3 linked regions of the Macaca fascicularis genome follow. The protein of the gene in region 1 interacts with the protein of each later gene in a pairwise test. Links are inferred from orthologs where the notes say so. Each region holds a gene or a part of one and is shown in the gene's direction. Other genes may lie near its edges. The genes, in order: NUTM1, RIC8A and SH2D4A.

Evidence for each region.
Region 2: the proteins of NUTM1 (region 1) and RIC8A interact in binary tests that used the Homo sapiens proteins (3 or more experiments, as listed by UniProt). The link is inferred for Macaca fascicularis from reciprocal best matches to the Homo sapiens genes NUTM1 and RIC8A.
Region 3: the proteins of NUTM1 (region 1) and SH2D4A interact in binary tests that used the Homo sapiens proteins (3 or more experiments, as listed by UniProt). The two-hybrid records come from large-scale screens. The link is inferred for Macaca fascicularis from reciprocal best matches to the Homo sapiens genes NUTM1 and SH2D4A.

The regions. Positions count from the first base shown.
Region 1 is NC_088381.1:10,631,844-10,635,949, forward strand, and holds the start of NUTM1 (NUT family member 1), read left to right. Parts: upstream 1-1,284; 5' UTR 1,285-1,334; coding exon 1,335-1,689; intron 1,690-4,106. UniProt on the Homo sapiens protein: Plays a role in the regulation of proliferation. Regulates TERT expression by modulating SP1 binding to TERT promoter binding sites.
Region 2 is NC_088388.1:88,499-92,827, forward strand, and holds the start of RIC8A (chaperone Ric-8A), read left to right. Parts: upstream 1-1,482; 5' UTR 1,483-1,564; coding exon 1,565-1,648; intron 1,649-1,984; coding exon 1,985-2,032; intron 2,033-2,120; coding exon 2,121-2,711; intron 2,712-3,280; coding exon 3,281-3,372; intron 3,373-3,960; coding exon 3,961-4,111; intron 4,112-4,329. Other genes in the region: BET1L (BET1-like protein), read right to left, coding at 38-56.
Region 3 is NC_088382.1:22,384,223-22,387,823, forward strand, and holds part of SH2D4A (SH2 domain-containing protein 4A), read left to right. Parts: intron 1-2,666; 5' UTR 2,667-2,870; coding exon 2,871-3,051; intron 3,052-3,601. UniProt on the Homo sapiens protein: Inhibits estrogen-induced cell proliferation by competing with PLCG for binding to ESR1, blocking the effect of estrogen on PLCG and repressing estrogen-induced proliferation. May play a role in T-cell development and function.

The DNA.
Region 1 (4,106 bases):
AGCGGGACGTGCTGGCGGTCACCTGTAGTCCCAGCTACTCGGGAGGCTGAGGCAGGAGAATCGCTTGAACCCGGGAGGCGGAGGTTGCAGTGAGCTGAGATCACGCCACTGGTCTCCAGCTTGGGTGACAGAGCAAGAGACCCTGTCCCAAAAAAAAAAAAAAAAGATATGGTTTGTATTTACTTGTAGTTGAATAAAAAATCTCTGCAATTATTCACAAGAAACAGATGATACTGGTTTCCTCTGAGATAGAGAACCTAGTTACAGGAGAAAGGGGTAAGGGGTGGGAGGCAGACTTATTGCTATGTATTTTATTTTGTAGTTTGATTTTTGAACCTTGCTAATGTATTACCTGTTAAAAATTTTTTAAAGGCCGGGCGCGGTGGCTCATACCTCTAATCCCAGCACTTTGGGAGGCCGAGGTGGGTGGATCATGAGGTCAGGAGATCGAGACCATCCTGGCTAACACAGTGAAATCCCGTCTCTACTAAAAATAGAAAAATTAGCCGGGTGTGGTGGCGGGCGCCTGTAGTCCCAGCTACTCAGGAGGCTGAGGCAGGAGAATGGTGTGAACCCGGGAGGCAGAGCTTGCAGTGAGCAGAGATCATGCCACTGCACTCCAACCTGGGCGACAAAGCAAGACTCTGTCTCAAAAAAAAAAAAAAAGTATGTCTAAGTAGTTAATTTTGTTAGAAAGGAAAAGGATGATTTCAGCCTTCAGGTCTTATTAATGAAAGAGTCTTTAGAAAAGAGAAAAGATATCTCAGAGAAAGCAAGAAAGACGCCATGAACCCCAGGGAAGGTCTTTTGGGGGAAATCCACGTTTGGATGAAGCTGTGGCTGTAGAGGATGGTCTGGGAATTACTGGCCTGAAATAGTCACCAGGAACCTTAGCAGATACATTTTATTTTTAAAATTTAAACCAAAATAATTTAACAAAACGAAGGACTTTCTACTCTTGAGGTTTTAAACTGCATGGCAGCTTTTTTATTTAGTGAGGCTTTTCAGCAAAGGGTAAGGCTTCTGTGGAGTACAGAGCCTATGCTAGTAGATTGGACAGCTTTCCAAGGAAATGATGTGCACACAGCAATTGAGCACCTTGGATCATCTGACAATTCTAATTTTAGACTTTAGTTCCCTTGATCCTTAAGTATACAGACCAATGTGGTCTGAATTTAGTTCAGAAAATATAGCCATCATTGGATTAAGTCAGGGGTCTACCATCGACCTGCTGTTAATAGGAAGTCAGTTACAGAACTGGCTGGGATGGAAGGACACAAAATGAGATATGTTGGTGAAGAATTGAAGTATAGGGAACCAAACTCAAAACTGTAATGTGTTGGGAATCTGAGAAAGAATTTACAAATAGCCCTAAAGGGCGAACATCAGTTGTGTTGCCAAACTGTAGTTTGAAGGGAATTCCTGGTTTTTGCGTAGTTACTAGAACCCTTCATGGAATATCTCTCCCCACCCTCACCCCACTTTCCCCTCTCCCCTCCCCCACAGCAGACTGCCTTGAGTTCCATATTCTAGTTCTGTTTGATCTGATCTTTACCTTCCCTTCCTTGGATCCCTGTGCACCTACTTGGAGCCAGGTTACTCTGGGTCCTGGACCTGACTGCCTCATTCTGGAGGCTTCCAGACAGCCACGGTTAGTGCCCAAAGCTGAGAGGATGGCTTCAGATGGAGGTAAGTCTTTAGGTGGTGAGGAGGATTTCTGGTACCTGCTCAAATCCTTTGGGACAAGCTCTTTGGGCTGACCTAAAGGAATGCGAGGTGCTACACCCCATCAAAGGTATCCCACTTGGGGAGGCTAGAGAAGGAGACTGTACCATTAAGACTAGGGGCCGGGGAAGGAAGAGGACCTCCTTAAGGGCAGATCAAGGTGTCTCCGAGGACACATGCTGAGTATAGAGAATGGATGGCAATTAGCAACTTGATTCTCTTGAACAGGGGGCACGTCAGCGTGTGTTCTTGTGGTGGGAGAGGGGATCAGAGGTATGTGTCTTAGGACTGGCACCGAGAGGTTTCAAGGGGGAATGCCCACGTTCATTCATCTGTCTCTTTCAGGCAACTGGAGCCTATTCTAGGATTTTGCCATGCTTGAGCCTATGAGGGGAATGGGATGTGGAGGATGGAGGATGGGAGGGTAAGGTGGGAAGGACTTTAGCGGGAAAACATAATCTGTAGTTATCCGTTGCAGAGAAATGCCTTCCTGAAAACTAGGCTGGAATGTATTATAAACTGCCTCTACTCTGGCCGGGCACGGTGGCTCATGCCTGTAATCCCAGCACTTTGGGAGGCCGAGGCGGGCGGATCACCTGAGGTCAGGAGTTCAAGACCAGCCTGACCAACATGGAGAAACCCCATCTCTACTAAAACTACAAAAAAAAAAAAAAAAAAAAAAAAAAAAAGCCGGGCATGGTGGCGCATGCCTGTAATCTCAGCTACTCGGGAGGCTGAGGCAGGAGAATCCCGTGAACCTGAGAGGCAGAGGTTGTGGTGAGCCAAGATTGTGTCATTGCACTCTAGCCTAGGCAACAAGAGCGAAACTCGGTCTCAAAAAAAAAAAAAAAAGAAAAATCCTGCCTCTGCTCAGAGCCTCACGGCTCCTTCCAGCCCTAGAGGTGGCTTCGCTTTGAGTTCAGGAAGCAGTTTTTCCGGATTCATCCGGGCCAGAGAGGTGGGTCATTACAGCCAGGATGAGATCTGGGGCTTCACCGAGATGCTCTTAGTTTTTCTTCCTTTTATGGATCTCAGGCCTTCAGGCCCCTTTCATTGTGTTCTGTACTCAGCGACATACCCTCAGCCCTTTGCTCTGTGGCTGAAATGAGTTTGAATCTGAGTTTGCTTGTGTGCCATGGTCAGAATGCAGAAGTTGGGTGTTGTTAGTTTGACAGTGTAATATTTTTTGTAAGGGGGAGGAGATTTAAGCAGGTGATATTCTGCTGTTGTTTTCCTGTTTTGTTTTTTTGTTTGAGATGGAGTCTCACTGTGTCGCTTACGCTGGAGTGCAGTGGTGTGATGCTAGCTCACTGCAAAGTCTGCCTCCCGAGTTCAAGCAATTCTCTTTCCTCAGCTTCCTGAGCAGCTGGGATACAGGCGCCCACCACCACACCCAGCTAATTTTTGTATTTTTAGAGAGACGGGGTTTCACCAAGTTGGCCAGGCTGGTGTCTAACTCCTGACCTCAAGCGCCTGTAATCTCAGCACTTTGGGAAGCCGAGGGAGGTAGATCACTTGAGGTCAGGAGTTCAAGACCAGCCTGGCCAACATGGTGAAACCCCATCTCTACTAAAAATACAAAAATTAGCTGGGTGTGTTGGCGCCCGCCTGTAATCCCAGCTACTAGGGAGGCTGAGGCAGGAGAATCGCTTGAACCCAGGAGGCAGCAGAGGTTGCAGTGAGCTGAAATCGCGCCACTGCACTCCAGCCTCGGTGACAGAGACTCTGTCTCGGGGAAAAAAAAAAAGTCCTAGGAGACATAGGTTCTGATTAAGTACACATTTGTATACTTATCCTTGGTCTCTTTGACTAGAGTCCACATAGCCCCTCCCCAGCTGGAACCAGTGACAATGAAGGACTTCATTGTCCTGTCCTTAGCACCTAGCTCAGTGCCTCGTTCCTAGTGAGCCCTAAATTTCTGATGTTAGGAGCTCCAAGCAGAAGGGCCACAGATAGTCTGCATCGCCAAACACGTCCAGCAGTTACTTAAAGATCTGGAAACCTCTCTCCCCACACCGCCCTCCCTTCACTCATTTCCTTGTCCTTATCTAATCCTCTCTAATTATTCCTGGCTGTTATACAACAAAATTTCTGGGAACCAAACATCCAATCCACATATCCTCTCCTGGGAACAGTACTTCTGTGCGTGGTGGCAGAGGCCACAGAGCAGCTGGGAGAAGCAGGGTTCAGGTGGTTTGAGTCTCTGGTTTGGAATAGGTGAGCATAGGGGATGTACGTGGAATGCTGGGTGGAATGTGTTACAGGATGTCTGAGCTTCATGGGCTCATGCTCCTGCTTATAGATTGAATCTTTCTTCTGTTGTTTTAGGTTAAGAGAGATTTATAAGAAGCAACAGGAAAAGGAAAAGGAGGAGGGAATGA
Region 2 (4,329 bases), on another chromosome or scaffold:
GGCCCTGCCCCCAACGGCTCCGCTCTCCCGCGCTCACCCCGAGCCCAGTCCGCCATCGTGCCCTGCCCCGGCTCCTCGACGCCAACACCGACGCGGCCACAGCCGCCTCAGACGTGGCGCAGTCACGGGGAACGGGCTTCCGGCCCCGCCCCCCGCCAGCGATGGCCCCGCCTCCGCGCCAACCACGCCCCTAGATGGCGTCGGGCTCGCTGATTTCCGGCTTAGGCCCGAGGGTGGGGAACCGCGGGGTCGCGGAAGCGATGGGCGTCGCTGTGACTTATTTTCAGCACTGTCGCCCAGGCAGTGGCGCGATCTCAGCTCACTGCAGCCCCCGCCTGCCGGGCTCCCAAGGTGCTGGGATTACAGCAGCACCGCGGATGTGACGTTTGTTTGTTGTTCCTGTGAACGTGGGGCGGGGCGGGGCCGTTTGCTTGCTCAGTGCCAAGACGATGGTGGTGGAAAGACGCTGCCATGCGTTAGGTCCTAACGGTTAGGAAGGATTCACAGGCGGGTCATGAGGGAGGAGTAGGCCCCTCGGGCAGAAGCCCGCGAGGAGCCCTGGGTGTGGAGGGGGCAAGGGTGCCTCCTCTGTCAAGTGGAGATCGGCGCCTCGCTAGTGCCTGCGAGTGCGCGCCGCGTCGAATACAGGTGTGCGGAAAGCGCTACAGGAAAGTGAAGCAGGGAAAGAGACTGGGAGGCGGCACGGGGAGTGGGGGCCGTAGACGCCTTTGCTCCCGGGCACTTGTTACAAGAGCCAGTGGACCGCGCTTCCTGTGCGTCACTGAATCCTCCTGATGGCCACTGAAACGGACACGCAGGATCTTTGCTTGTCAAGAGGGAACTGAGTCCAGGCCAGACTGCGTTGCTCCCCTTTCTCTCGGCCCCTCACGGCCCTTCCACCTTTGCAAGTGCTGCTCCTTCTGCCTGGAGTGGCTCCTCCAGTCTTTTCCCGGCTCGCTTCCCATCGTCCAGTGTTAGCAAAAACACCACTGCCTCACAGCCCTTGCAGCCCAGCAGTCACCTTTTGCTTCTTTTGAAGCACAGCCCTGTGACCGCCTCATGTCCTTTTGTTTTTCCTTGTCTGCCTTCCCCTCTGGAACATAAGCTCCACAAAGGCAGGGGCCTGGGAGTCCCGTTCGCTTGCATTCCCCAGCAAACGCCTAACGAACCCAATGGCCCGGGACTGAAAAGTCCTTTCCACTTCGGCTTTCCCGTCTACATCCCATCGGTTCTGTGGAGCTCGAGGGGCGTCACTGTGTGTGTGGCAGGGCGCGGTGGGGGCTGAGATCCTTTCCTGTTGGAAATTCCGGCCCAAGAAGCCCCGGTCACAAGGAGGGGGATCAGTCCGGTTCAGGGCGACTTGGCCCGACTCGGGTCTTCCGAGCCGCCAGTGCTGCCTCAGGCCGCGCCCCCTTGAAGCGCCACCAGACGCCGCGTCCCGTCCCGGCCTCCCCCGCGCGCTGGCGCGGGGCTTTCTGGGCCAGGGCGGGGCCGGCGAACTGCGGCCCGGAAAGGTTGAGGAAGGGCCCGTCCCGCCTTCCCCGCGCCGGGTTCCGGGGGCGCCATGGAGCCCCGGGCGGTTGCAGAAGCCGTGGAGACGGGGAAGGAGGATGTGATTATGGAAGCTCTGCGGTCGTACAACCAGGAGGTGAGCGGCCGCCTGAGGCCGGGGGGCGGGCACGGAGGGGGTGGGGCAGGGTCGTGCGCGGGTGGTCGGGACGGTGTGGGTGAGGCAGGGGTTGTGTCAGCAAGCAGAGGGGACGCGGCGGCGTGGGGGTGGCACGTCAGGGATGCAGTGTTGGGGGGAGAGTGTCTGGGGTGCACCCGTTGGGTGGCAGGTGTGTAGGGATGGGGGCGAGTGTAGACCCTGCCACCCCTTCTGAGCAGTGGCTGCTGCCTGAGTTAGAGGCCAATAGGCCGCCCCCCGTCAGCGGGCGCGGATACTGCCCCTCTGTGGACTTGAATTCACTCGTTCTCTCTGCAGCACTCCCAGAGCTTCACGTTTGATGATGCTCAACAGGAGGACCGGAAGGTGGGTGCTGGCCCGAGGGGTAAAGGGACAGGGACGGGTGGCCCCAGGAAGAGGGGCCTGGTGGAGCCGCTCGTCTCCCTGCCCACAGAGACTGGCGGAGCTGCTGGTCTCCGTCCTGGAACAGGGCTTGCCACCCTCCCACCGGGTCACCTGGCTGCAGAGTGTCCGAATCCTGTCCCGGGACCGCAACTGCTTGGACCCGTTTACCAGCCGCCAGAGCCTGCAGGCACTGGCCTGCTATGCTGACATCTCTGGCTCTGAGGGGTCCGTCCCAGACTCCCCCGACATGGATGTTGTACTGGAGTCCCTCAAGTGCCTGTGCAACCTCGTGCTCAGCAGCCCTGTGGCACAGATGCTGGCAGCAGAGGCCCGCCTAGTGGTGAAGCTCACAGAGCGTGTGGGGCTGTACCGGGAGAGGAGCTTCCCCCACGATGTCCAGTTCTTTGACTTGAGGCTCCTCTTCCTGCTAACGGCACTCCGCACCGATGTGCGCCAGCAGCTGTTTCAGGAGCTGAAAGGAGTGCATCTGCTGACTGACACACTGGAGCTGACGCTGGGGGTGACTCCTGAAGGGAACCCACCCAAGCTCCTTCCTTCCCAAGAGACTGAGCGGGCCATGGAGATCCTCAAAGTGCTCTTCAACATCACCCTCGACTCCATCAAGGGGGAGGTGGACGAGGTGAGCCCTGACCTCAACCCATGGATGGGTCTCAACTCAGCTCCAACATTTCCTGGACCTGCTTCCCACTGGGTACCTTCAGGTTTCTGGGTGTCAGACATGGAGAGAACAGGACCTCCCAGCGTGTTGGGACAAGGCCAAGGAGATGCCAGTTCTGGGCTGGGACCTTAGGGGAGGATTCTGAGGGAAGTAGAGGCCCCTTCTGGCTCTTGCTGCCTGGCAGGGGGCTGTGTGCTCTCCGGGGAGACTGTAAGAGATCCTCCACCATGAGGCTGTGAGTGGGGCTGAGACAAGAGTGTGACTTCATCCCAAGGGTGTGTGTTAACATTCCTAATCAGGGACGTGCTCTTAGAAGAATACTCATGGAGTTTTTAGGAAGACAGCGGTGGTCATCTTTTGCCCCCAGCACTAGCCAGAGTCACCTAGGAGACCCCAGGGGACCAAGTGTGCAGTACAGGAGGTGCACAGTCATTGCCACACAGTTCTGGAGTGCAACAGACAGTAGAGCCTCAGCAGGCAGCAGTGGGATGAGTGGGGCTCCTCACAGGAACCCTTCTTTCTTTGGTCAGGAAGACGCTGCTCTTTACCGACACCTGGGGACCCTTCTCCGGCACTGTGTGATGATTGCTACTGCTGGAGACCGCACAGAGGAGTTCCATGGGTGAGGATGGGGCTTTTTCTGGGAGGGAAGTGTGTCCACATGTTTAGATGGTCATCCTCAGCCCTGGCTGTGAACCAGAACCACCTGAGAGCCCAGGCCCCACCCTAGAGGGTCTGACTTTGTCTGGGTGAGTGAGACTGGACATCGGTGTGTTTCCAGAGAATACTGGGTGCTTCTAATATGTGGCCAGGACAACAGCCATGAATTTGGGGGCAGGAATGTGCCACCTGGGCCTTGGGTAGTGGCAACAGACAGTGTGGTATTTACTAGGGCACATTGGCTCCTTGTCCCCATTCTTGGTCCACCTGCCCCTTGGCTGGTGTGGTTTCCAGAGATGGTCTGGCGCTTTGGCCCAGACAGGGTAGGGGAGGCAGGGTGTCTCAGCCCCCACTTCCCCAGGGGACCCCACTGTACAGCTGAGTGGCAGTGCCTCTCAGATCAGTCCCTGCCCTTGGCTTTGGTCCCCAGTGCCGCCCCTTTGGGCCTCAGACGCCAGCTCATGTAATGTGTGGTTCAGTGGGGGCACAAAGATTGCATCTGTGCTGAGGGATTAGCCCTATTGAGACCCCCACCTCCATCTGTCCTCAGCCACGCAGTGAACCTCCTGGGGAACTTGCCTCTCAAGTGTCTGGATGTTCTCCTCACCCTGGAGCCACACGAAGACTCCGTGGAGTTCATGGGAGTGAATATGGATGTGATTCGTGCCCTCCTCATCTTCCTAGAGAAGCGTTTGCACCAGGTAGGCTGGGGATGGCTGTACAGGCTCCCCCAGTGGCTCTGGCACTGGTTCTCCTGCACAGCTGTGGTCAGTGCTTCTCCACTGGCCACATTGGTAAGTGGAAATCATCTTGGTGGTGTGATACAGGCGATTCTTCCGGCTGTTCTGTGGTCCAGCCTGGCAACAAGCTAGACCCTTCCTTCATGAGAAGCATGTGGACACCTTCCACACACTTGAAG
Region 3 (3,601 bases), on another chromosome or scaffold:
GGAATTTGCTGGCTTCCATTCTGAAATTTCATACATGGCGCCACATCCTGCTGTTCTGATTCTGGGCACACAAATAAACTCACAAAAAGGCCTCTGTGCTGTGGATTACAGTGAAGCTGACTTAGAGCTGGACTGCCCGGCTCTGCCGCTTACCAGCTGCTGACCTGTGCTCTGTCTTCCTAATCTGTGAAATGAGCACAGTGATGGGCTGGACTCGAAGGGTTATTATGAAGATTAAGCGAGTTAACACAGGTAAAGTGCTTAATTAAGATGGTGCCTGGTACGAGAAGTGTTAGCTGTGTTATCAGGAATATGCAGGGCGGGGGAGACAGTAGGAATGTGACTTTGGCGCTTTAAGGGTTTTAGATTTTAGGCTCTACCCACGCCTTGAATAGGACTCACCGCATTGAAAATGGGGAACAGAGCGGAAGTCTCAACCCTAACTGAACTGTTCATTTTCTGCCATGTGTGATTTCTGCGAAAGCCAACCACAGAACATAAAGACATTTACTGGAATGTCAAGGAGTCATTCCGTGTCGTTTCTTACCACTTTATCTTGGAGCTTGTGGATTTCATTGGCTCCACCCCTTCAGAAGCTGCTAGAAACAGTCAAGAAATCATTACAAGACATCCATTTTTTTGACTGTTCAAGCCTTTAAGGGTATCTCCATGCAAAATACAAAGTTAGCAAGGGGACCTGGCAGGGGGCGTGACATTACTTTTAGTCCTTTAAAAGTTTTCTCTTAATATTTGGTTCCATTTGAATTCCGGTGGTTGAATGCTGCTGAGATGATAGGTTGCAGTCAGTAGGGATAGGTGTAGTTTCATCAAGGGTCTGGCTTTGCAATGAACAGTCAGCGAATCTGAGTGCTGCGTATGCACACCATTCTGTGGTAGCCTAGCTATTGAGCGTGCTCGTCTCAAAAGACAGATGTACATCAAGGAACAACTTTGCAAGGAAGAGGAGGAAGACAGGAAGCTGAAGGAGGCCCCCAGGTGGTGAGAGAAGCATTACAAATCTAGCTGTATCAATGACAAGGTAAACGAAGAGAAACCAACACTACGATGGCCATAATATAGCTAAGTGACTTGTCTAAAGTTTAAGAGTGTTTGAATATAGTATGGAGAAACAAGATATTTGAGAGCACATGGCAAGGTGGTAAGATTATTGAGGTGTTACTGTAAACAACAAATTATTGGTCAATTTCTTATTTTTTCTTTTCTTTTTTTTTTTTTTTTTTGAGATGGAGTCTGTCTCTGTCACCCAGGCTGGAATGCAGTGGCGCGATCTCGGCTCACTGCAATCTCCGCCTCCCGGGTTCAAGCGATCTCCTGTCTCACCCTCCCGAGTAGCTGGAATTACAGGTGCCCACTACCATGCCTGGCTAATTTCTGTATTTTTTGTTTTTTTAGTAGAGGTGGAGTTTTACCATATTGGTCAGACTGGTCTCGAACTCCTGACCTCGTGATCCACCCACCTTGGCCTCCTAAAGTGCTGGGATTACAGGTGTGAGCCACCATGCCTAGTCTATTGGTGAATTTCTTAGGACACATGTGATTCTGAAAAGTTGTAGTAAGTTTTTTTTCTTACATCGTACTACATCGAATCCAAAGTCTTGTTTTCCAGAATAGAAATATTTACATAGTTTCCTTCTGATTACAAAAGTATGATGGTTTATGAGACTTAGAAATTGTTTAAAAATAGAGAGAAAAAGTATGACAGTGTGGTAATATTTTTAAGCCAACCAAATAGAAATGTGGAAAGCAGAATGAAACCTCAGTGGGATTTCCAACCCCAGGAGAACCTCTAGGAGGCCACTGTGCACACTCGATTTATGGTTTCTCTTTCACGGAGCCATGCAGTAAACTCATATAAATCAAGGATCCTTTGTTATGAACCTAATGACCTCTTCATCCCGCTAGTTTATCTGGTCTGTCCATTTAGATTTTATTAAACTAGGTTATCTAGTAAAAGCACACCTAAAACTCGGTGACCTTCCAGAATGTAGACGGATGTTCTCTCTTGCACCTGCCCTGATTTTCATGGCTCTAGTAGGTTGCCTGGAAATTACATTATCCTTTTGTGAAGAGGAAAGTACATAATTATGTTTATTTAATGCTACTTTTTAGGGAAATTGCAGAAATTGCATGGTGGTCTAGTTTTTATTTCTTCCTTTTTCTTCCTTGAACATGGCTCTATTTTGGTTTGGTTTGGGGTGAGTTACTCTGTGACATCTCAAAAATGGTATTTTCTTTTGAAATAGGTACTTTGCAGAGAGCCTTTTAATTTCTTCCTGTGACCTTTCTTTTTGCCTTTCTTTTTTCAGCCACACAGTTGGTGGTTTGTTAGGCTCTGGGGTAATCATGTGTTTGCTTAGTTGGGAGCAGGACAAACCTCTGTGAACTTTTTTTGTTTCCCTGAGATTGACCTGTATAAAGTTAGGGTTTGTTTTCTTTTTTTTGACAAAGTATCTTTAGAAATTATAGGATAGAAGTTACACAAACTCTTAACAAAGTGTGCCTCAGGTTTTCTTTTTCTGTTTTCTCCCTGAAATGAAAAGTGATACTGTATTTCCTCCTGGCTTTTTTTTTTTTTTTTAACCCGTCCTAGCCAGCGTCCACACATTTTAACATGCCACCTGAATGCGGGCTCTTTCTCTCTGTAGGTTCAGTGAACAGCATTTTGGACCGGACATTTGGTGCCAGGTCTCAGGAGCCAGTTTGCTGAATTATTGCCCCAGTCAGCCAGGATTGTGAGCTGTTCGGGAAGTTTTGTGGACACGCCCAAGTGCCAGCACAGGTGGAGGGACACCTGGAGGCCAGTTTCAGGAACTTTTGCCACAGGTATAAAAGACTCCAGAACTGCAAAGATGCTGAAACAGATACTGTCGGAGATGTACATAGATCCCGATCTACTGGCAGAGCTCAGCGAAGAACAGAAACAGATCCTGTTCTTCAAGATGAGAGAGGAACAGATCCGACGATGGAAAGAAAGAGAAGCAGCTATGGAAAGAAAGGAGTCCTTGCCAGTGAAACCCAGACCAAAGAAAGGTAAACTTAGCCACGTTTCTTTTGTGAACGTGTTGGTAGAATAACTCCTGGCTGGCTTTGACAATTTCAAACTAATCACAAGCAAAGCAAGTGCAAGTTCCAGTTTGGTAGATGAATCCTAAATGTTACTGAGAATCCAGTAGTGCAGTATATCTGCTTGAAGTCTACACACACACAGCATTCACCATGGAGTTGCATAACTGTGAGGAAATCTCTTACTTGAAATGAGACTAACCTGAAGCTGTAGTAAAAAGTCACCTATGGAGTTTGATTTGAGGGGTATTAAGAAAGGTTTCTATCTCCTTTATTGTTACTGATTCCTTATATTCTACTACCAGAACACAAAGTTCTTATATCAATATATTTATAGCAATTGTGTTTACATTTCTTAGACCTCAGAGATTTTTCTTTGAGGTATCTTTTTAGGGAACACCCTCTCTTAAAATGTAAGGAACTGCTGTAAGGAAAATAATCATAATACTATCTTTTTTTAGTGTGAATGAGTTTTTCAGATGTAAACTTTTCCTCATTACCAAAGGAATCTCTGGTA